Anolis sagrei: one gene and its partners. The protein of the gene in region 1 purifies or fractionates together with the protein of each later gene. This does not show direct contact. Links are inferred from orthologs where the notes say so. Each region holds a gene or a part of one and is shown in the gene's direction. Other genes may lie near its edges.

What was found. Proteins that work in one complex are often made in the same cells at the same time.
Region 2: the proteins of PRMT5 (region 1) and SNRPD3 purify together in Homo sapiens (affinity purification with mass spectrometry; 3 studies listed by BioGRID and IntAct, with this or other methods). This does not show direct contact. The link is inferred for Anolis sagrei from reciprocal best matches to the Homo sapiens genes PRMT5 and SNRPD3.
Region 3: the proteins of PRMT5 (region 1) and RELA purify together in Homo sapiens (affinity purification with western blotting; 3 studies listed by BioGRID). This does not show direct contact. The link is inferred for Anolis sagrei from reciprocal best matches to the Homo sapiens genes PRMT5 and RELA.

Annotation. Positions count from the first base shown.
Region 1 is NC_090026.1:9,494,892-9,502,936, forward strand, and holds the start of PRMT5 (protein arginine N-methyltransferase 5), read left to right. Parts: upstream 1-4,973; 5' UTR 4,974-5,011; coding exon 5,012-5,139; intron 5,140-8,045. UniProt on the Homo sapiens protein: Arginine methyltransferase that can both catalyze the formation of omega-N monomethylarginine (MMA) and symmetrical dimethylarginine (sDMA), with a preference for the formation of MMA.
Region 2 is NC_090034.1:49,010,203-49,017,992, reverse strand, and holds the start of SNRPD3 (small nuclear ribonucleoprotein Sm D3), read left to right. Parts: upstream 1-4,648; 5' UTR 4,649-4,753; intron 4,754-5,552; 5' UTR 5,553-5,580; coding exon 5,581-5,706; intron 5,707-7,790. Other genes in the region: protein GUCD1, read right to left, coding at 429-594, 1,234-1,318, 3,849-3,936. UniProt on the Homo sapiens protein: Plays a role in pre-mRNA splicing as a core component of the spliceosomal U1, U2, U4 and U5 small nuclear ribonucleoproteins (snRNPs), the building blocks of the spliceosome.
Region 3 is NC_090032.1:9,831,125-9,839,329, reverse strand, and holds the start of RELA (transcription factor p65), read left to right. Parts: upstream 1-5,063; 5' UTR 5,064-5,229; coding exon 5,230-5,284; intron 5,285-8,205. Other genes in the region: histone acetyltransferase KAT5, read right to left, coding at 1,014-1,082, 4,583-4,649, 4,745-4,756. UniProt on the Homo sapiens protein: NF-kappa-B is a pleiotropic transcription factor present in almost all cell types and is the endpoint of a series of signal transduction events that are initiated by a vast array of stimuli related to many biological processes such as inflammation, immunity, differentiation, cell growth, tumorigenesis and apoptosis.

The DNA of each region.
Region 1 (8,045 bases):
GGGGGGGGAAGATTCTGCCTAAACATTCAGAAGTTTGGTTTTTTTATTGTTGTTTTTGTTGTTGTTGTAAGGACTGTTCAGCAGAAAAAATATATTTCCTTGGAGTGTGGTGAACTCTCCATATTTGAAGGTCTTCAAACAAATGGTATCTTTTAAAGGAATGCTTTAGTTATCTACATTCCTGAATTCTATGTAGTTGGGCTAGATCAGTGTTTCTCAACCTGGGGATCGGGACCATTGAGGGGGGTCACGAGGAGGTGTCGGGGGGTCACCAAAGACCATCAGAAAACACAGTATTTTCTGTTGGTCATGGGGGTTCTGTGTGGGAAATTTTGCCCAATTCTATTGTTGGTGGGGGTTCCATAGTCAAAGACCCACCACTGAGAAGGCATCCGTAGGGAGACCAAGGTGCTTCTCTATAAAGCTATTGTCCTCCCAACCCTGCTATATGCCTGTGAAACGTGGACTGTCTACAGACGTCACATGCAACTCCTGGAACGATTCCATCAGCGCTGCCTCCGGAAAATCCTGCAAATCTCCTGGGAAGACAAGCGGACAAACGTCAGCGTGCTGGAAGAAGCAAAGACCACCAGCATTGAAGCGATGGTCCTCCAACATCAACTCCGCTGGGCCGGACACGTTGTCCGGATGCCTGACCACCGTCTCCCAAAGCAGTTGCTCTACTCTGAACTTAAGAACAGAAAACGGAATGTTAGAGGACAGGAAAAGAGATTTAAAGATGGCCCCTTAAAAACTCTGGCATAGACACTGAGAACTGGGAAGTCCTGGCCCTTGACTGCTCCAGCTGGAGGTCAGCTGTGACCAGCAGTGCTGCAGAATTTGAGGAGGCACGAGTGGAGGGTGAAAGAGAGAAACGTGCCAGGAGGAAGGCGCATCAAGCCAACCCCGACCGGGACCGCCTTCCACCTGGAAACCAATGTCCACACTGCGGAAGAAGATGCAGAGCAAGAATAGGGCGCCGCAGCCACACGCGGACCCACAGGAAAACCCATAATGGAAGACCATCTTACTCGTCCAACGAGGGATCGCTAAATAAGTAAGTAAGTACTGAGAAGGCCCTGTTTCTCGTCCCCACCAATCACACTTGCGAGGAAGGTGGAACCAAGAGCAGGGCCTCCCCAAATTACCTTAATCTCTGAGATGGTTCATTGTGCTGGTACAGCTATACCAGGAGCTCCAACTGTATTTACTTTGTATTAGATGTTGCTTGCAGTCCAAGGTTGCAGGGACTCTGCAGATAGGTGGCTTTCTTTGGTTGCAGTCGTAGGGCAAGTCACCTGTCCATCATCGGGAAGGGAGCCAATTTTAGTTAGTCTCAGCAAGGAAAGCTAATGTACAGGACGTGTGCAAGCTTCCCCTGTACAAAAGCTTCAACCCTTAAGACTTTCCGGGAGAACAGTCTTAAGAGTCTCCAAAGATTTTCAGGGAAACAGCCCTAAAGACCAAAGAACTCCAGCTGGAGAACATCTAAACCTTTACTGGTAGGTTCACTCGGCGTTCGAGAAGCAGTTCAACCCGGTAGCGGAGCCCACATCAGTAAGGGTTAGATTACAGTCAGCCAGGGAGAAGTTAAAAAGGGGATTTTCCTTTAAAGTAAAGAAGAAGTTATTGAAGGCAGTTGCCTGTCCTTCATGGGCAAGTTTAGGAAGCTACCAGTTGCATTAAAGTCTGGAATCATTTGTTTAGCTTTATTGAAGACAAGAGAAGTTTCTGTTTGATTCTTCATTAATAAAATACTTTGTTATACTTCACAAGCCATCTAAAGATCATTTGTGGTGGAAAACCTCTGAGAACTTCTCCTTGGGCCCCCTGGCTTCCCGCTGGGCAAAGGTTGCACGTCCTGTTCTAAAAGGAAATTCTTTACAGGTCCAGCACGCAACAGAACATTCATAGAGGGAGATATGTTCAGACAGGTAAGCTGGGCAACAATTCTATTGTTGGTGGAGTTCACACTGCTCTTTGATTGTAGGGGAACTATAAACCCGAGCAACTACAACTCCCAAATGTCAAGGTCTATTTCCTCCCAAACTCCACCAGTGTTCACATTTGGGCACATTGAGTATTTGTGCCAAGTTTGGTCCGATCGATCATTATTTGAGTCCACAGTGCTCCCTGAATGTAGGTGAACTACAAATCCAAAACTCAAGGTCAAAGCCACTGAACCCTTTCTGTATTTTCTGTTGGTCATGGGAGTTCTATGTGCCAAGTTTGGTTAAATTCCATTGTTGGTGGAGTTCAGAATGCTCTTCGATTGTAGGCTAACTATAAATCCCAGCAGCTACAACTCCCAATTGACAAAATCAATCCCCACTCCAACCTCACCAGTATTCAAATTTGGGCCTATCGGGTATTTGTGCCGAATTCCATCCAGTTAATTAATATATCCTGCATATCAGATATTTACATTACAATTCATAATAGTAGGAAAATTACAGTTATGAAGTAGGAACAAAAATAATTTTATGGTTGCAAATCTGAATCTGGAAGTTCCAGATTCAGGCCATCAAATGCTAATCAAGGCAGTCAGTTGAAACATTCACACCTAGCTCCAGCAGACAAGAGTTCTTTGTCCCACCCTGGTCATTCCACAGATATATAAACCCAATTTTCCTAGTTCCAACCTCACAACCTCTGAGGATGCTTGCCATAGATGCAGGCGAAACGTCAGGAGAGAATGCCTCTAGAACATGGCCATATAACCTGAAAAAACCTACAACCCAGTGATTCCAGTCAACAATACAAATATTAAATGGTACTAAACTGTTTTTATTATATTATATTATGTATATTTATGCTTTTCTTATTGTGGGCACTGTGCTGTGCCGGTTGTTAGCCTCCCTGAGTCCCTCTGCGGAGATGAGATAGGACGGGATATAAATGCCCTAAATAAATAGAAATAATGTGTGCAGATCCCAGTAAGGTGGCCTTTTGCAGCTGACAGATGGTTATTTTGTCAGTGGCGATTGTTTTTAAGTGCAGGCCAAGGTCTTGAAGCACTGCACCCAGTGTGCCGATCACCACTGGGACCCCCTTGACTGGCTTGTGCCAGACTCTTTGCAGTTCGATCTTTAAATCCTCATATCGTGTCAGCTTTTCCAACTTTTCCAGTTGTTTCCCTTCAATCCTGCTATCACCCAGGATTACATTGATGATCCATACTTTGTTTCTTAACACGATCGTGAGGTATGGAGTGTTGTGTTCCAAAACTCTTGTCTGTCTGAATTCGGAAGTCCCAGAGTAGTTTGAACTCTTCTTCTTACTTACTTACTTAGGCCATCCCTCGCTGTCCGAGTAGGATAATCCTCCAAGGTGGGTCCGTAGGTGACTGTGGAGCCCTCTTCTTGATCTGTATCTCCTCCCGCAGTGAGGGCATTGGTTTCCAGGTGGAAGGCGGTCCTGGTCTGGGTTGGGTTGACACGCCTTCCTCTTGGCACGTTTCTCCCTTTCAACCTCCATTCATGCTTCTTCGAATTCTGCAGCACTGCTGGTCACAGCTGACCTCCAGCTGGAGCGCTCAAGGGCCAGGGCTTCCCAGTTCTCAGTGTCTATGCCAGAGTTTTTAAGGTTGGCTTTGAGCCCATCTTTAAATCTCTTTTCCTGTTCACCAACGTTCCATTTTCCATTCTTGAGTTCTTCTTCTTCTTATTATTATTATCTTGTATATGTAAAAAAACAAAATCCAAAACACTTTGTATCCCAAGCATTTCAGATAAGGGATAAACTGTATTACCAAATGTGAATAAACAAGAATTTCATTCTCAATTCATTGTAAATAAGTTTTAAATAAATAAATAAATAAAATTGTAAATAAATTTTAAATAAATAAATAAATAAAATTGTAAATAAATTAATTGTAAATATATTGTAAATAAATAAATAAAATTGTAAATAAATGCATTGTAAATAAGTAAATAACTAAAATTATAAATAAATTCATTGTAAATAAATAAATAAATAAAATTGTAAATAAATTCATTGTAAATATATTGTAAATAAATAAATAAATTGTAAATAAATTAATTGTAAATAAATTAATTGTAAATAAATTGTAAATAAATAAATAAATAAATTGTAAATAAATAAATAAAATTGTAAATAAGTAAATTGTAAATAAATAAATACAAAAATTGTAAATAAATAAATAAATAAATTATAAATAGATTTATTGTATATAAATTGTAAATAAACAAATGAATAAAATTGTAAATAAATTCTTTCTAAACACATTGTAAATAAATAAATAAATAAAATTGTAAATAGATTCATTGTAAATAAATTTTAAATAAATAAATAAAATTGGAAATAAATTCATTGTAAATATTTTGTAAATAAATAAGTAAATAAAATTGTAAATAAATTATGAATAAATAAAATTGGAAATAAATTCAGTGTAAATAAATAAATAAAATTGGAAATAAATTCATTTGAAATACATTGTAAATGTGGTAACCCCCCTTTTAAGAATGCACTCAACCTCCTTGTAGTTTAACTGTTAATATGTGTTTGGAAGATCAGAAGGTCAGAATCTTAATTACTCTTGCTAAAGTTTCCAATGAAGAAAAGTTAAGTCTGTTTCGAGCCAGCCAGGAGTCGAACCTAGAATCTTCTGATCCGTAGTCAGACGCGTTATCCATTGCGCCACTGGCCCTCAGACACAAACAGAGCATTCCACCTCCTCCCTTATAAGGCATTCCATAGCGTTGCCTGCTTCGCGATGCATCCTGGGAAGTGTAGTCTTCCACCGTCATGTGCCTTTTTTCCCCCTCCCGAGTGCATGATGGGAAATAGAACCTTTACCTCATGCTCTCTCAGTCACTGACTCCGGCTCGGATTTTGATTGGTTTAGCTAGGCCGGTGCTGACTCCGCCCCCTCCACTCTGGCTTTGAAAGGCCTCATTGGATTGGCTGCTTTCTGTAAAACGGCCGCGGATTGGTTAAAGTGCTAGAGTGGGCGCGGGCTCACGGTTCTGGCTTCTCTGTGTGGCGGGACATGGCGGCGAACACAGCGGCGGCGCCTTCGGTCGGGCCCGGCTCGGCGGCGGCTCGCGTCTCTTGCGGGAGAGACCTCAACTGCGTCCCGGAAGTGGCCAGCACTCTGGGGGCGGTCGCCCGGCAGGGGTGAGGAGGAGAACCACGTGGCTTCATACTATAGAACAGGCCTGGGCCAATTTGGGCCCTCCAGGTGTTTTGGACTCCAACTCCCATCATTCCTAACAGCCTCAGGCCTTTTTATTTTCTCCCTCAGCCGCTTAAGCGGCTGAGGGAGAAAATAAAAGGGCCTGAGGCTGTTAGGAATGATGGGAGTTGGAGTCCAAAACTCCTAGAGGGCCCAAAGTTGGCCCAGGCCTGCTCTATCATCTATCAATCTGTTGCTAGCCCTATAATGTCACTGGGAAAGGAAAAGAGTGAAGTAGCTTGGTTGCTGCTAAGTGACATGTGTGTAAAGGGAAGGGAAGGAAGCAAAAAAGAAGGAAAACAGGAAAAGAGAGAGAGAAAGAAAAGGGGAAAAGATAGGAGGTGAGGAAAGAAAGGATCTGTAATTGGCTAGGTGGATCTATAATCCCAGAATATCAAGGTAGACAATCCCACAATATCTGCTTTGTTATCGGAGTCCACACGCAGATATGTCCCAGCAGATTGGAGGAGCGCAAATGTGGTCCCTATCTGTCTTCAAGAAGGGCAAAAGGATGACTCAAACAATTACTGTCCTGTCAGCTTCACGTCAATACCAGGCAAGATTCTGGAAAAAAAGCATTAAGTGCTCTGCGAACAGGCCCTCCCGCACACCTTCTAAACTGTGCACATAGAATCATAGAATCAAAGAGTTGGAAGAGACCTCATGGGCCATCCAGTCCAACCCCATTCTGTCAAGAAGCAGGAATATTGCATTCAAATCACCCCTGACAAATGGCCATCCAGCCTCTGCTTAAAAGCTTCCAAAGAAGGAGCCTCCACCACACTCCGGGGCAGAAAGTTCCACTGCTGAACGGCTCTCACAGTCAGGAAGTTCTTCCTCATGTTCAGATGGAATCTCCTTTCTTGTAGTTTGAAGCCATTGTTCCGCGTCCTAGTCTCCAAGGAAGCAGAAAACAAGCTTGCTCCCTCCTCCCTGTGGCTTCCTCTCACATATTTATACATGGCTATCATATCTCCTCTCAGCCTTCTCTTCTTCAGGCTAAACATGCCCAGTTCCCTAAGCCGCTCCTCATAGGGCTTGTTCTCCAGACCCTTGATCATTTTAGTTGCCCTCCTCTGGACCCATTCCAGCTTGTCAATATCTCTCTTGAATTGTGGTGCCCAGAATTGGACACAATATTCCAGATGTGGTCTAACCAAAGCAGAATAGAGGGGTAGCATTACTTCCTTAGATCTAGACACTATGCTCCTATTGATGCAGGCCAAAATCCCATTGGCTTTTTTTGCCGCCCCATGACATTGTTGGCTCATGTTTAACTTGTTGTCCACGAGGACTCCAAGATCTTTTTCACACGTACTGCTCTCGAGCCAGGCGTCACCCATTCTGTATCTTTGCATTTCATTTTTTCTGCCAAAGTGGAGTATCTTGCATTTGTCACTGTTGAACTTCATTTTGTTAGTTTTGGCCCATCTCTCTAATCTGTCAAGATCCCTTTGAATCCTGCTCCTGTCCTCTGGACTATTGGCTATCCCTCCCAATTTGGTGTCGTCTGCAAACTTGATGATCATGCTTGATGATCAAACTTGATGATCATGTGCTGCTAGTGCTTACAGTGCCCCTTCCAACAGGTCCTCTTCATCAGAGGATGAAATCACTGAGGGAGGGGACTTTTGTGTTTGTCTTCCTGGCTGGGTCCTTGCCCTTGGCCCCACCAAAGTTCTTCTAAGGCAACACGTTGAAAAGAATGAAAAGATTATTATTCCACTTTGTTGATCGTCAACATGGATTTATCAAAAATAATTCATGTCAGACTAATCTTATCTCTTTTTTTGAGAGAGTTACAAGCTGGGTAGATGCAGGGAATGCCATGGATGTAGCGTAACTGGATTTCAGTAAGGCCTTCAAAAAGTTCTCCCATTTCCTTCTGGCAAACATACTAGTCAAATGTGGGCTAGACAAAACTATGGTTAGGTGGATCTGTAATTGGTTAAGGGAACGAACCCAATGGCTGCTCCCCAGTATTTCCTCGGGAGTGCCATATAAGCAGGGTTCCGTCCTGAGTATGGTCCTGTTCAACATCTTTATTAATGTTTTAGAGGAAGGGTTAGAAGGCAGGATCATCAAGTTGGCAGACGACACCAAATTGGGAGGGATAGCCAATACTCCAGAGGACAGCAGCAGGATTCAAAACGATCTGAACAGATGAGAGAGATGGGCTAAAACTAAGCTCAACAGTGACAAATGCAAGATACTCCACTTAGGCAGAAAAAAATGAAATGCAAGGATACAGAATGGGTGACAATGCCTGGCTCGAGAGCAGTGCGAAAAAGATCTTGGAGTCCTTGTGGACAACAAGTTAAACATGGGCCAACAATGTGATGTGGCAGCAAAAAAAAGCCGATGGGATTTTGGCCTGCATCAAGAGGAGCCTAGTGTATAGATCTAGGGAAGTAATGCTACCCCTCTATTCAGCTTTGGTTAGACCACACCTGGAATATTGTGTCCAATTCTGGGCACCACAATTCAAGAGAGATATTGACAAGCCAGAGGAGGGCGATTAAAAGGATCAAGGGTCTGGAGAACAAGCCCTATGAGGAGTGGCTTAACGAGCTGAGCATGTTTAGTCTGAAGAAGAGAAGGCTGAGAGGGGATATGATAGCCATGTATAAATATGTGAGAGGAAGCCACAGGGAGGAGGGAGCAAGCTTGTTTTCTGCTTCCCTGGAGACTAGGATACAAAACAATGGCTTCAAACTACAAGAGAGGAGATTCCATCTGAACATGAGAGCCGTTCAGCAGTGGAACTCTCTGCCCCCGAGTGTGGTGGAGGCTCCTTCTTTGGAAGCTTTAAAGCAGAGGCTGGATGGCCATCTGTCAGGGGTGATTT
Region 2 (7,790 bases), on another chromosome or scaffold:
TTTGGCCTTTTCTGAGGGAGAAGAGGCCTCTTCTGAGAGAAAACAAGCATTTTGGGGCCTTTTCTGAGGGAAAGCAAGCCTCTTTGGGCTTTTTCTGAGGGAAAATTGCCTCCTTTGGCCTTTTTTGAGGCAAAGGATGCCTTATTGGGCCTTTTCTGAGGGAGAAGAGGCCTCTTCTGAGAGAAAACAAGCATTTTGGGGCCTTTTCTGAGGGAAAGCAAGCCTCTTTGGGCTTTTTCTGAGGGAAAATTGCCTCCTTTGGCCTTTTTTCAGGCAAAGGATGCCTTATTGGGCCTTTTCTGAGGGAGAAGAGGCTTCTTCTGAGGGAAAAACAGCCTCCTTTGGCCTTTTCTGAGGGGAAACCTGCCTTTGGGGCCTTTTCTAGGGAGAAACTGGCCTCCTTTGGCCCCTTCCGAGGGGAAGGGTACCTGGTTCTTGTAGCCCTTGTCCACCCCAAGGGTCTGGGTGCAGAAGCGGTGCCGGACCCCAAAGTGGCGCATGAGGTAAGCCAGGTCGATGGTCCAGATGCTCTTGGTCAAACCAAGCTCCTGGACAGCCCTCTGGAACTCGGCGTCATCAAGGAGGTTCAGGTACCTGCCAGGAAGAAGTTGTAAAATATTTTGGTGGCACTATTATATAGAATAATTAATATAATAAATATAACGTAACAATTATATAATTATTATAAATATTTATTATATTATAATGTAATTATTATATTATCATTATACTACAATTTTAATAATACTATTATTCCATTGTACTTTAATATAATAACTAAATCATTATATTATATTAGTTTGTAATTAATATAACTATTATATGATAATTTAATAATTATACTAGGTATAATAGTACTATTATATTATTGTTTTTATTATATTATTGTTGTAAGATTTATATTCTTTCATTATATTCTTTTTCTATTCTACTGTAATATATTTATATTGTTAATATAATGTACCAATTATATTATATTCTTTCATTATTCTATTCTATTAAATTACTATTATAATATAATTGTCATATTATTATATTGTTTAATTGGGATATTGTTGAATTTTATTTTAATTATATTATATTATTATTATAATATAAATGTATAATGTTATTTCAATGTATTATTATTCTATTAAAATTATACCATCATAAAATATAATACTTATATCCGTTCATCGTGTTATTTGCATATGTGTAATGAGGTCACAATTATGAGACGGCTGTCGCACTCACTTGAGGACCATCCTGGAGCAGGCCAGGCCGCAGTCCCAGTGATAGAGCTGCTGGAGGACTGGAACGTTCAGCTGCACTATTCCCACTGCAGTGCAATATCCGTGCGAAGCATGTCCCCGTCGTGTGAGGGAAAAGACACAAGGCGTTTATACTTCATGGGAACCACTCAGGACTACTGAGGAACAACTAAACTGCAGGAAGGGAGGTCCGTGCTAAAGGCGTTCGCAAGCGTGTGAAGGGCATTGCAGTTGTGCAAGGGGGTGTTACAATCATGCCAGGAACAGTGAGACCTTGCAGTTAGTAACCGCACTTGTGCAAGTGACAGTACACAAATGGATTGTACAGTCGTGTGAATGGCATTCCAGTTATTATGCTCGTGCAGCAGAGGTTACAGTTGTGTAAGGAACGTTACAATCGTGTGAGGCATTATATGATGGTGTGAAGGATGTTACGGCCATGAAGGGAACTTGACAATTGTGCAAAGGAGGTTACAACTGGGCAAAGAAGGGAGGTTACAATTGTGTGAGAGGTGTAACAGTGCAAGTGACATTGTACCAATGCAAGGGGCACTATAATAGTGTGACAGGCATTAAGTTCACGCAAGAGGTGTTATAATAGTGTGAGGAGGGATCATGATCCAGTATAGCAACAGTGCAAGGGGGGCATAACAGTGCGAGGGGCATCATGATTCAATGTGAGAATCACACTAGTGCAGGAGGCATAATAATATTGCAAGGGGCATTATGATCCAGTGCAAGAAGCATCACAATAATGCAAGGGGGTGTGATAATAGTGCAAGGGGGTATCACGATCCAGTGAAAAGCATTGCGACAGCACGAGGGGCGTAATAATAGTGCAAGGGTGGGAATTATGATCAGGCGCAAGAAGAATTGCAAGCAGGTGTAATAATAGTGCGAGTGGGACACAATAGGCCGGTTGTTAGCCGCCCTGAGTCCCTCTGTGGAGGTTGAGATAGGACGGGATACAAATGTCCGAAATATATAAATTATTTATTTATTTATTTATTTGGTAGTTTTGTATACCGGTCTTCTCACCTCCATTCGAGGGACTCGGGCCGGTTTCCAACATCAATATTACAGACCGTCATCAAAACATCATATTTCTAAATCACACTAAAACATTAAAACATTGAAACAATTAAAATAGCAAAAATACAATCGTATGATTACACTGGTCAGTCGTCATCAAAGTCATTATTCGTCGTCATCCATCCATATCACAGGATCATGGCTCATTCGCTGAATGCCAGTCCCCAAAGCCAGGTTTTCACCTGTTTCCTGAACGTTAAGATCGAAGGGGCAGTTCTGATCTCCAGTGGAAGGGAGTTCCAGAGTCGAGGGGCCACCACCGAGAAGGCCCTGTCTCTCGTCCCCACCAGCCGCGCCTGTGAGGCCGGTGGGATCGAGAGCAGGGCCCCTCCAGACGATCTTAGTAATCTTGATGGCTCATAGGGGAGGATACGTTCGGACAGGTAAATTGGGCCGGAATAAAATAAAATAATAGTGTGAGGGGCATCATGAGCCAGTGTGAGAAGCACTGCAAAAGGGCGAGGGGTGCAATAATAGCGTGAGGGGCCCCTCACAATCAAGTGTGAAAAGCATCGCAACAGTGTGAGGGGGCATATTAAACGGTGCAAGAGACATCATGTTCCAGTGTGAGAATCGCAATAGTACAAGGGGTGTAATAACAGTGCGAGGGGCATTACGATCCAGTGTAAAAAGCATCGCAATAATGTGAAGGGGCATAATAATAATGTGTGGAGGCGCAATGATCCAGTGTGAGTGGCATCGCAGTAGTGTAAGGTAAGGTAAAGGTAGTCGGCCTATGAGCCCACGAGGACTTTGAGATCTTCCGGGGAGGCCCTGCTATCGATCCCGCCTGCGTCACAGGCACGGCTGGCGGGGACGAGAGATAGGGCCTTCTCGGTGGTGGCTCCTCGGCTGTGGAACACCCTTCCCGTAGACATCAGGCTAGCCCCCTCCCTGTTGATTTTCCGCAGGAAGCTGAAGACCTGGCTGTTTAAGAAGGCATTTGAATAGAAGTGCAATGACTGGTAACTTGACCATGGAATGGAACAATAGAAATGGTATTGGATTGTGAACTTGACGATGAGACGACTCGGAATGACTTTGTAATAATGTTGATGTTTTTGATGAGATGTTTTGCTAATGATGTACTGCGGATTATTTGTCACTATGTCTTGTATTTTGCACCTGTTTTTCTATGTTGTACACCGCAATGAGTCGCCATTAGGCTGAGAATTGCGGCATATAAGCGTAGTAAATAAATAAATAAATAAATAGTCCCCTGACATTAAGTCCAGTCATGTCTGACTCTGGTGTAGTGTAGTGTAAGCGCGTGTAATAATAATGCAAATGGGACACAAAGTGCAAGGGAAAATTACGATTCAGTGTGATAAGAGTGCAAAGGGGCATAATAATAGTGTGAAGGAGCACTATGGCGGTGCCAGAAGCAGCATGAGGGGTATGCTAACACTCCCTGCTCCTACTCAGAGACCCTTCCTGTCTTTGCCCCCCCTCCCTTTGCCCTCAGTGACCGTGCCCTCTGCGCATGCTCAGGGGCTCACCACCGACCTGAGGGCGGGGTCTGGGCCTCTTCTTCTTCCTCCTCTTCTTCTTCCTCCTCTTCTTCTTCCTCCTCCTCTTCTCTGGGGCTCTTCATGGCTCTCTGAAGGCAGGCAGGCAGGAAGGGAAGCCTCCCTTCCTCGCTTCCTGCCGGGCTCCGCCCCTGGCCACGCCCCTGGCCACGCCCCTTGCGGCTCACTTCAGGCCTGAAGAGGTGAGGAAGGCCCCGGCTCCGCCCTTTGTCCCCAAGCCCCGCCCCTTGCCTTTGTGGCCCTGGCTCCGCCCCTTGCATTTAAGACCAAGGCCGTAGCTCCGCCTCTATCACTAAGCCTCGCCCCTTGCGTCTAAAGCCAGAGGATTGGAAGGCCTTGGCCCCGCCCTCTCTCATCAAGCCCCGCCCCTTGAGACCAAGAGAAGGAAGGCCCTAACCTCGCCCCCTTTCCCGAAGCCACGCCCCTTCCGAAAAAGGCCTTGCCCCGCCCACTATCCGATAAGCCACGTCCCTGGCGTTGTTTTGAGTCCTACGGAGCATGCGCATGTCTTGACCACCTTCACTCCAATGGAAATACCATCTCAAGACGCACGATATTGGAATCCGTTCGTTTATGAGGCAAACACAAAGCGGAACTGTAGTCGCCGCCCTTGGGTCTCCCCGCCGGAGCCCAAAAAGGACCGCACCGCTCGTAACCATAGAGTCCCGTAGCTTTCTATTGGAGAGGTGGAAAGGATAGAACGTCATGACTTCCGGTATTAACCGGAAGCCGTTGCTAAAAGTTCCGCACGGAAATCTATGGTTTAAAAAAAGAGCGCGGGGTGGCGGTGGAGCGGACGACACTTCCGCTTCCTCCTCTTCCGCTTTGCATGCTGGGAGGCCGGGCTTTGATCGAATTCACGCTGTAGCGACATCCGAAATCGTACGAGAGAAGGCTTGTTCTTTATTATTGAAGATTATCATATAAAATAGCATAAGAAAGTGTAATAATCTAGAATATATTATATATATATATTAACTTACTATAAAATAAGGTAGTATAACGATAGATGATCGAATATATAATATAGTATGTATATAGTAACATAATATAAAATAAGAGAGTATCATAATCTAGAATGTAATAGAATCTAATACATAATCTATAATATACTATATAATAACCTAATATAAAATAAGACAATGTAATAGCATATCGTATATTACATTTTCTTTTGATTTTATTACAATTATTATTGTATTTTCTTATATATGATGTTATATTGCATTATTATATTTTCTTTTGATTATATTATTATGAGTTCTACGTTATTACATTTTGGACTTTATTGTGATTATATAGTATATTATATTGCTATATTATATTATATTATAATAATTATGATATTTTCCTTGATTATATTATTTTATTGTTTTGTTCTTTTTGTCGTGTCAGGAGTGACTTGAGAAACTGCAAGTCGCTTCTGGTGTGAGAGAATTGGCCGTCTGCAAGGACGTTGCCCAGGGGATGCCCGGATGATTTGATGTTTTTATCATCCTTGTGGGAGGCTTCTCTCATGTCCTCATGTATGAGGAGCTGGAGCTGATAAAGGGAGCTCATCCGCCTCTCCCCGGATTCGAACCTGCGACCTGTCAGGGTTTAACCTACTGCACCACCGGGGGCTCCTTGTTGGGGCCCCTGTGAGCTCACTTCCTGTCCCTCCCTTTTCTCTCCTGGCCAGCTGTCCATCACCCACTTCCATCCTTATCATGTCGATCGGGGTCCCCATCAAGGTCCTCCATGAGGCTGAGGGACACATTGTCACTTGCGAGACAAACACCGGGGAGGTCTACCGCGGGAAGCTCATTGAGGCCGAGGACAACATGAACTGCCAGGTATCAATGGCTTATTGATTAATTTATTATTATTATTAATATATTGTTATCTGTACTGTCAAAGGCTTAATAATAACATTGTTATCTGCATTGTCGAATAATATATTATCGTTATTATATTTATTGTTGTTATAATAAGAAGAAGAATCTTTATTTCTATCCTACCCTATCTCCCCAATGGGGACTCAGAGCGCTTCTCAAGATACATGGAGCAGCAACCATTCAATGCTGTAAAGGGCGACCGACAGTAAAGACGACAACCAGTAGTTAAATAATACACCTTCATCACATAATCATGGAATATTACAAATAATTAAATGACACTACAAATCCATTTTAACTGGACTTATTTTAATTAGATTAATAAAAATTAAAAACATTAACATTTAAAGGAGAGAAACCAGAAGATTACATTATATATTACATTCTATTAAAATTATCCGAAGTGGACAAGAATAGCACAGGATCATATATGTGGACAGAGAAAGGCATAAAAGAATATTAAATATATATATGCTTACTACTAATAATAATATCCAGATGTAAGCTTATTATATTTGTTGTTGTTGTTGTTATATTTATTGTTGTAATTGTAATTATAGTAATAAACTTTATTTGTATCCCTCCCTATCTCCCCAATGGGGAAACATTCAGTGCTGTAAGGTGCAACCAACAAATCAAAAAACTACCATGAATTAAATAATAACACATTACACATCAGGTATTAATAACAATGTCTTTGCTATTAATTTTGTTATTAACCGTGGTAGCACAGTGGTTAAAGCTGCTAGCTGCAGGAAAGGCTGTTAACCGGAGAGTCAACTGTTTGAAGCCACGAGTCAGGGTAAGCTCCCAACTGCTCTAGCTCCTGCCTACCTAGCAGTTTGAAAGAATGCAAGGCAAGTAGATCAGTAGGTACCGCCTCAGTGGGAAGGGAAAAGGGCACCCCATGCAGATAAACAGACATGCCGGCAATACAATTAGAGAAGTCTATGGAAAACAGGCTCCTCAGCATGGAAAATGGAACAAGATCACCTTCAGTTGAGTATCACCTCCAGATGCCGGAGATGGGAAAAGGCGGAAGCCCTTGACCTTTGTCTTATATGTCTTTGTTCACTGTGTGTGTAAAAAGGCATTGAATGTTTGCCTCATATCAGTATTGTAATCCGTTCTGAGTCCCTCCGGGGAGATAAAGTGGAATATAAAGATTATTATTATTATTATCAGGTAATAATCATGTTACATTTATTGTATTTATTATTGTTATAATTATATTGTTGTTACAGTATTATTATTATTCTATATTATTATTTTCAGGCAATAATGATGTATTTAGTATTATACTTATTGTTATATAGTATTATAGTGTAGTTATTATATATTATTATTTTCAGGCCATCATAATGATGTATTTATTAGATTATTTTCTATTTATTAATAATAGTAATAAAACTATTACTACTTTTGCTACTCATGGTGGTTTCCAATAATAATATTTATTATTATATTATTGTGATATTTCTATATTATTATTTTCAGCTAAAATAATGATGTCATTATTATATTTATTATTATTATATTATGGCTATTGTATATTGTTATTTTCAGGCAATAATAATGATGTATTTATTAATATATTTCTTATTGTTATATTTCTTCTTATTGAATGATTGATTTTTTTAATGAAAAATCAAACCGTACAATTCACCATTCTGGACAAGGTGGCAGGAAAGGTATAACAAATGAATAGACAATGACTCCACTAAGGCTGAAAAATCCACTAATTTGAAGACTACTGTGAAGTTATTGCATGAATTACAATGAAGTTTTTACCGGGAGCAAGAGTTAAGGCTATTTTGCTTTCTTTCTAATCAGTACAAGGAAACTGTTGCCTTTTATCATTACAAACAGTGATACTAAGATTTGTTAATATTTTAAAACACATTTTCTTAAAAAATATGTATGAATGAATACATTTTCTACTAGGCTTTTATTTATGTCTGATTTTTGGAATGGTTTTTAAGCAACATTGTAAAACAAGTCATCTGGAGCATTTTAACACACAATAGAATCTGGCAATGTCT
Region 3 (8,205 bases), on another chromosome or scaffold:
GATCATTGTGGACTCAAACAATGATGGATCTGGATCAAACTCTACACAAATACTCAGTATGTCCAAATATGAACACACACAAAACACATGTACACAGACAGGGCCACAGCAGCGTGTGGTAGGGGACGGCTACTGTAATATAAATATATAGTTATAATATCATATAATAAAGGTAAAGGTTTACTGTGGCGCTTCATATATTGCAGGACTGCACTATTACCTTTCACCTTTAACTGTGTGAATGTTACTAGCCGTCCCCTGCCACGCGTTGCTGTGGCCCACATGGGGGTTCTGTGTGGGAGGTTTGGCCCAATTCTATCGTTGGTGGGGTTCAGAATGCTCTCTGATTGTAGGTGAACTATAAATCTCAGCAACTACAACTCCCAAATGTCAAGATTCTATTTTCCCCAAACTCCACCAGTGTTCACATTTGGGCATATTGAGTATTCGTGTGGAGTTTGGTCCAGATCCATCATTATTTGAGTCCACAGTCATCTTTGGATGTAGGTGAACTACAACTCCAAAACCAAAGGACACCCCACGAAACCCTTCCAGTATTTTCTGTTGGTCATGGGAGAACTGTGTGCCAAGTTTGGTTCAAATCCATCATTGGTGGGGTTCAGAATACTCTTTGATTGTAGGTGAACTATAAATCCCAGCAACTACAACTCCCAAATGACAAAATCATTTTTTTTTTGAGTGAAGGACATACATTGGCCTGATAGGTGTCTTGTGTCCAAATTTGGTGTCAATTCTCCCAGTGGTTTTTGAGTTCTGTGAATCCCACAAATGAACATTACATCTTTATTTATATAGATATATAGGACAAAATCTTTCTGAATGAGTGTCCACCTTGATGTAACACAGTAAACGAGCTTAATAAATTATTTCAGTTTCTAAATACTATGAGCCTGGTCTTCATAAACTTCCTTCCCATCAGAAAGTCCTATTTCAGTATTTTCCTTGTAGGCTTCTCCCCACTCTATAGATTCATCGGCACCGTATCTACTCACAGTCAATATAGTGAACGTAGAAAAGCTTCCGGCCACTGATGTCCTTGACGCTGAGGATTTCGGCCAGCGCTGTTGATAGAAGAGAAAAAGCATTCTGTTATGGAAAGCAAAAGTCAAAAATGTATGAACATAATATATGTTCATATATATATATTCATGCCAAGAGCGATTTGAGAGACTGCAAGTTGCTTCTGGTGTAAGAGAATCGGCTGTCTGCAAGGATATTGCCCAGGGGATGCGCGAATGTTTTTGATGATCCTTGTGGGAGGTTTCTCTCATGTCCCCACATGGGGAGCTGGAGCTCACAGAGGGAGCTCATCCGCACTCTCCTCAGATTCGCTCAGGCAGATCCTCCCAGCACAATGGTTTAACCCACTGCACAACTGGGACTCCAATACATACAATACCTTACATAGATTTTAAAAAATGCAAAAATATGTTTGGAAAAACTTGCATCAAACACAGATAGATACACAATAGATCTATAAAGGATTTTCAGGATGTAAATCAATACTCATGGTTGAAACGTATTATTTTATGTTATTATTTTATTATTATAATATCTTATTTTACTTATTATTGTTTTGTATTAAATTTTTATAATTTATTGTTTTATTATTATATTATATTGTATGTGCATATAATTTGTAACCTGCTCTGAGTCCTCTTCGGTATGAGAAGGGCGGTATATAAATGTCATAGATAAATAAATAGATTATAATTTATTTATTATATCATTATTTTATTATTATATTATTACTATATTAATAAATAAAATAATTATATAATAAATAAATTATAATCTATTTATTTATCTATGACATTTATATACCACCCTTCTATTGTATTATAAATATATAATACAGTAATTATACTATTACTATATTTACTGTATTATATATTTTATATACTATTTTATTTATAGCAAATATATTACTATAATTACTGTATTATATATTTTATTTACTATTTTATTTTATTATTGTTTTATTGATTATATTACATTATATTATTATTTTATTTATTATTTTATTTTATTTATTATTATATTTATTATTGTATATTCTATTATAAATTTACTTATTCTATATTATAATTTTATTTATTATATTACATAATTATTTTATTTACTATTGCATTTTATTGTTTTATTGATTATATTATATTACATTATTGTTTTATTTACTATTATTTTATTTTATTTTTATTTATGACTATTTTATATTTATTAAAATACATAATTATTTTAATTTTTTTATTTTTATTATATTTGTTATTGTATACTATTATAATGTTATTCTATTCTAATTTTATTATATTATAGAATTATTTTGTTTAATGTTGTATTTTATTGTTTAATTGATTACATTATATTATTGTTTTACTTACTATTATTATATTATAGTATTATAATATATTATACTATTATTATATTATATATTATTTTATTTATTATTCGATATTTATTAAAATACATAATTATTTTAATATTTTACTTTATTATTATTGCATTCTTATAGATTTACTTATTCTATTATATTATAGTTTTATTTATTATATTATATAATTACTTTATTTACTATCGTATTTATTGTTTTATTGATTATATTACATTATATTATACATTATTGTTTTATTTACTATTATTTTATTATTATATTTACTATTGTATTTATTTATTATATTATAGAATTATTTTAATTAGTATTTTATTACTTTATTTATCATATACTACACTATAAAATAATTATTTCATTTTTTATTTTATGATTATTTTATATTTATTAAAACCCATAATTATTTTAATATTATATTTATTATAGTATTCTTTTATAAATTTACTTATTTTATTATATTATCATTTTATTTAGTATGTTATAAAATTATTTCATTTACTATTGTATTTTATCTTTATGTATTATATTATTCTTTTATATTATATTTATATTATATATATTTATATACTATTATTCTTTTATTTTATTTATTTTATTTATTATTTTATTTATTAGATTATAATTATTTTAATTAATATTTTATTACTTTATTGATCGTATATTACATTCTGAAATAATCATTTCGTTTATTATTTTATTTTCTATTTTATTTATGATTATTTTATACTTATTAAAATAATCATTTTAACATTTTATTTATTATTGTATTCTATTCTATTGAGTCGCCTGTTAAGGGCTGAAAAATACGGTATAGAAATAAAGCAAATAATAATAATAATAATAAAAATTATAAATTATAAATTTACTTATTTTATTCTATTATAATTTTATTTATTATATTATAGAATTATTTTATTTACCGTTGTATTGTATTTTTTATATATTATATTATAGAATTATTTTATTTACTATTGTATTTTATTGTTTTATATATTATATTATAGAATTATTTTATTTACTATTGTATTTTATGGTTTTATCCTATATTATGTTATTATTTTATTTATTATTTCATTTTATATTTTTTTTCTATTGTTGTGATGGACTGGGTGTATATCCTTAGACCATACTTACTCTCAGGGACACAATAGCCATCCGCCTGGGAGGGATTCAGATCCCAGCGCCAGGACTCCCTGCTGACAGACCATCCTGGATGCCAATGGGATTGGCCAGCTCAAGGGATGGGCGCCGCTGCTCACCTCTGGAACCCATCCATCAATCACCCCCTTGGCCCCGCCCACCGCCTTGTAACCCCGCCCACGGAATGGGCGTCGCTTTTCACCTCTGGAGCCAGCCCGTCAATCACACCCTTTGGCCCCGCCCCTCGCCTTGTAGCCCCGCCCACGAGATGGGCGCCGCGGCTCACCTCTGGAGCCGACCCGTCAATCACGCCCTTTGGCCCCGCCCCTCGCCTTGTAGGCCCGCCCACGAGATGGGCGCCGCTGCTCACCTCTGGAACCAACCCGTCAATCACACCCCATTGGCCCCGCCCACCGCCTTGTAGCCCCGCCCACGGGATGGGCGCCGCTATTCACCTCTGGAACCAACCCGTCAATCACCCCCTTGGCCCCGCCCACCACCTTGTAGCCCCGCCCACGAGATGGGCGCCGCTGTTCAACTCTGGAGCCAACCCGTCAATCACACCCCTTGGCCCCGCCCACCGCATTGTAGCCCCGCCCACAAGATGGGCGCCGCTATTCACCTCAGGAACCAACCCGTCAATCACACCCCCTTGGCCCCGCCCACCGCCTCGTAGCCCCGCCCACGGGATGGGCGCTGCTGTTCACCTCAGGAAGCAACCCGTCAATCACACCCCCTTGGCCCCGCCCACCGCTTTATAGTCCCGCCCACGAGATGGGCGCCGCTATTCACCTCAGGAACCAACCCGTCAATCACACCCCCTTGGCCCCGCCCACCGCCTCGTAGCCCCGCCCACGAGATGGGCGCCGCTATTCACCTCAGGAACCAACCCGTCAATCACAACCCCTTGGCCCCGCCCACCACTTTATAGTCCCGCCAACGAGATGGGCGCCGCTATTCACCTCTGGAACCAACCCGTCAATCACACCCCTTGGCCCCGCCCACCGCCTTGTAGCCCCGCCCCTCACTCACGCCACTCGTCCTCGTTGTCCTGGTTCCGGCGCAGCACGGGCAGGCGGCAGCCCTCGGTGACTTCCTCCTGCAACGGAGACCCATGTGGAGCCGGCAGCGTTTCCCACCGTTTTCCCCTTCCCTTTCCCTTTCCAAAAAATCCCTTCTGGTTTCCTCACTTACCACCTCCGCCATCTTGGACCCTCGCCGTTCGTCAGGGCCTTCTTTTCCGGCATCGACGGGAACTACTTCCGGGAGGAGAGAATCCACTTCCGCCAGGCGCCATTTTCTTTGTTGTTGTTCTTCTAGGTTCCTACTTCTCCCTCGCGCCCTTTCCGGGTTTGCATAAGTCCCGCCCCCTTTTGGTTCCAGATTTGCATAAAGGGGGCGGGGCGAGAGAGAGAGACCCAAAGGCGGCGGCGACAGGGGGAAGTGGGCGGGGCCTTCCCAGCAGCACTTCGGACGGAGCCATTCCGCCCCGCGACGCCTCCCTCAGGCTTCCGGCTCCCGGCGGGCAGGCAGGCAGGCGAGCCCCAGGCTTCGGCTAGGCCCAGGCCCCGACCCGGAAGAGCTCTGCGGCCCCGCGGGAGGGAGGGTGGGCTGACTTCGCCGCCGCTCGGGAAGGCCTTCAGGCCCGCCTTCGCTCCTCGGGCCTCCTCCCCCGGGCCATGGGGGACCCCCTCGCCCAGATGCAGGGCGGGTTCAGCAGCACAACCATGGACGGTGAGTAGGGGGCTCCTCTCCTCCTCTAGGCTCAGGGGAGGGGGCTCCAAAGGCTCCCTTCTGACATAAAGGCACCACCAAAGCCCTCCAGACAGATGGACATCCAGCCTCTATTTCAAAAAACCTCAGGAGAAGGAGACTCCATCAGTCTCTGGCCTCCTTCTGCCATAAAGACAGATGGCCATCCAGCCTCTGCTTTGAAAAACCTTCCTTAGAAGGGGACCATCAAGTCCAACCCCTTTCTGCCAAGACACCATCAAAGCCCTCCCGACAGATGGCCGTCCAGCCTCTTTCTTAAAAATCTCAGTCTCTACCTCTTTCTGCCATAAAGACACCATCAAAGCCCTCCCGACAGATGGACGTCCAGCCTCTGTTTTAAAAAACCTCAGGAGGAGAGTTCACCCGTCTCTAGCCTCCTTCTGCCATAAGGACACAATTAAAGCCCTCCCGACAGATGGACGTCCAGCCTCTACTTTGAAAAACCTTCCAGAGAAGGGGGCCATCAAGTCCAAACCCCTTCTGCCATAAAGACACAATTAAAGCCCTCCCGACAGATGGAGGTCCAGCCTCTGCTTTTAAAAACCTCAGGAGAAGGAGACTCCACCAATCTGTGGCCTCCTTCTGCCATTAAGACACAATTAAAGCCCTCCCGAGAGATGGCCGTCCAGCCTCTGTTTTAAAAAAATCTCAGGAGAAGGAGACTCCATCTGTCTCTAGCCTCCTTCTGCTATAAGGACACAATTAAAGCCCTCCCGACAGATGGACGTCCAGCCTCTGCTTTGAAAAACCTCAGGAGAAGGAGACTCCACCCGTCTGTAGCCTCCTTCTGCCATTAAGACACAATTAAAGCCCTCCCAACAGATGGCCATCCAGCCTCTGCTTTGAAAAACCTCAGGAGAAGGAGACTCCACCCGTCTGTAGCCTCCTTCTGCCATTAAGACACAATTAAAGCCCTCCCGACAGATGGACGTCCAGCCTTTGTTTTAAAAAACCTCAGGAGAAGGAGACTCCACCAGTCTCTATCCTCCTTCTGCTATAAGGACACAATTAAAGCCCTCCCGACAGATGGACGTCCAGCCTCTGCTTTGAAAAACCTCAGGAGAAGGAGACTCCACCAGTCTCTGGCCCCCTTCTGCCATTAAGACACAATTAAAGCCCTCCCGACAGATGGACGTCCAGCCTCTGCTTTGAAAAACCTCCGGAGAAGGAGACTCCACCAGTCCCTGGCCCCCTTCTGCCATTAAGACACAATTAAAGCCCTCCCGACAGATGGACGTCCAGCCTCTGCTTTGAAAAACCTCAGGAGAAGGAGACTCCACCAGTCCCTGGCCCCCTTCTGTCATTAAGACACAATTAAAGCCCTCCCGACAGATGGACGTCCAGCCTCTGCTTTGAAAAACCTCCGGAGAAGGAGACTCCACCAGTCTCTGGCCCCCTTCTGCCATTAAGACACAATTAAAGCCCTTCCGACAGTTGGATGTCCAGCCTTTGCTTTAAAAAAACTTTTAGAGAAGGGGACCATCCAGTTCAACCCCTCTGCCAAGACACCATCAAAGCCCTCCCGACAGATGGCCATCCAGCCTCTGCTTTAAAAAAACTTTGGGAAGTAGACTCCACCAGTCTCCAAGACAGTTTATATTCCACTGGAGAACCCCAAAGGCCATCCAGTCCTGTCCCCTTCTGCCAGAAAAACACCATCAAAGCCCCTTGAAAGATGGCCATCCAGCTTCTACTTTTAAAAACTTCTAGAGAAGAGGACCATTCTGTCCAACCCCTTCTGCAAAGATACCATTAAAGCCCTCCCAGCAGATGGCCATCCAGCCTCTGCTTTAAAAAACTTTGGGAAGGAGACTTCACCAGTCTCCAAGGCAGCCCATACTCCACTGGACAACCCCAAAGGTCACCCAGTCCAGCCTCCTTCTGCCGTAAAGAAAGACACCATCGAAGCCCTCCCGACAGACTGCCATCCAACCTCTGCTTCAAACATACTTCAAGAGAAGGAGGCTCCGCCTATCTCCAAGGCAGTTTATATTCCACTGGAGAACCCCAAAGGCCATCCATTCCTGTCCCTTTCTGCCATAGAGACACCATCAAAGCCCTCCTGACAGACAGCTATCCAGCCTCTGCTTTAAAAAATATTGAGGAGATGCCACCAGTCTCCAAGGCAATTCATATTCCACTGGAGAACCCCAAAGACCTGCCATTCCAGCCCCCTTCTGCCATAATGAAAGACACAATCAAAGCCCTCCTGATAGATGGCCATCCAGCCTCTGCATATAAGCCTCCAGAGAAGAAGACTCCATCATCATCGCTGATGAAGATGATGATCATGATTATTATTTTTATTGATTTACAGAATTGAAAGCGACCCCCTCTATTGCCATCCAATCCAACCCTTTCCAACCAAGATACCATACATAAAAAGCCCTCCCGATAGATGGTCATCCAACCTCTGCTTGCAAACCTCCAGACTCCATCATCATAGCCAATTTTTATGATTGTGATTATGATTATTGATTCATAGACTTGAAAGCAACCCCTTTATTGTATATACTTTTTTCTTTGTCTATGTAATTTTGATGATGTTGTTTGTTGTTTATAACACCAAAACATAAACATCATCAAAATTACCATCCAATCCAACCCTTTCCAACCAAGATACCATAAAAAGCCTTCTCAATAAATGGTCATCCAACCTCTGCTTGCAAACCTCCAGAATCCATCATCATAGCCAATTTTTATGATTGTGAATGCTTTCTTACGAGGTGTTAGCTGGCCTTGATTGTTTCCTGTCTGGAATTGTTTCATGTTTCATGTGGGAGTTCTTTCTCCCACCCTGGACATCATTCCACAGATATATAAACCCCACTTGCCTAGTTTCCAACAGGCTTTACAACCTTTGAGGATGCTTGCGATAGATG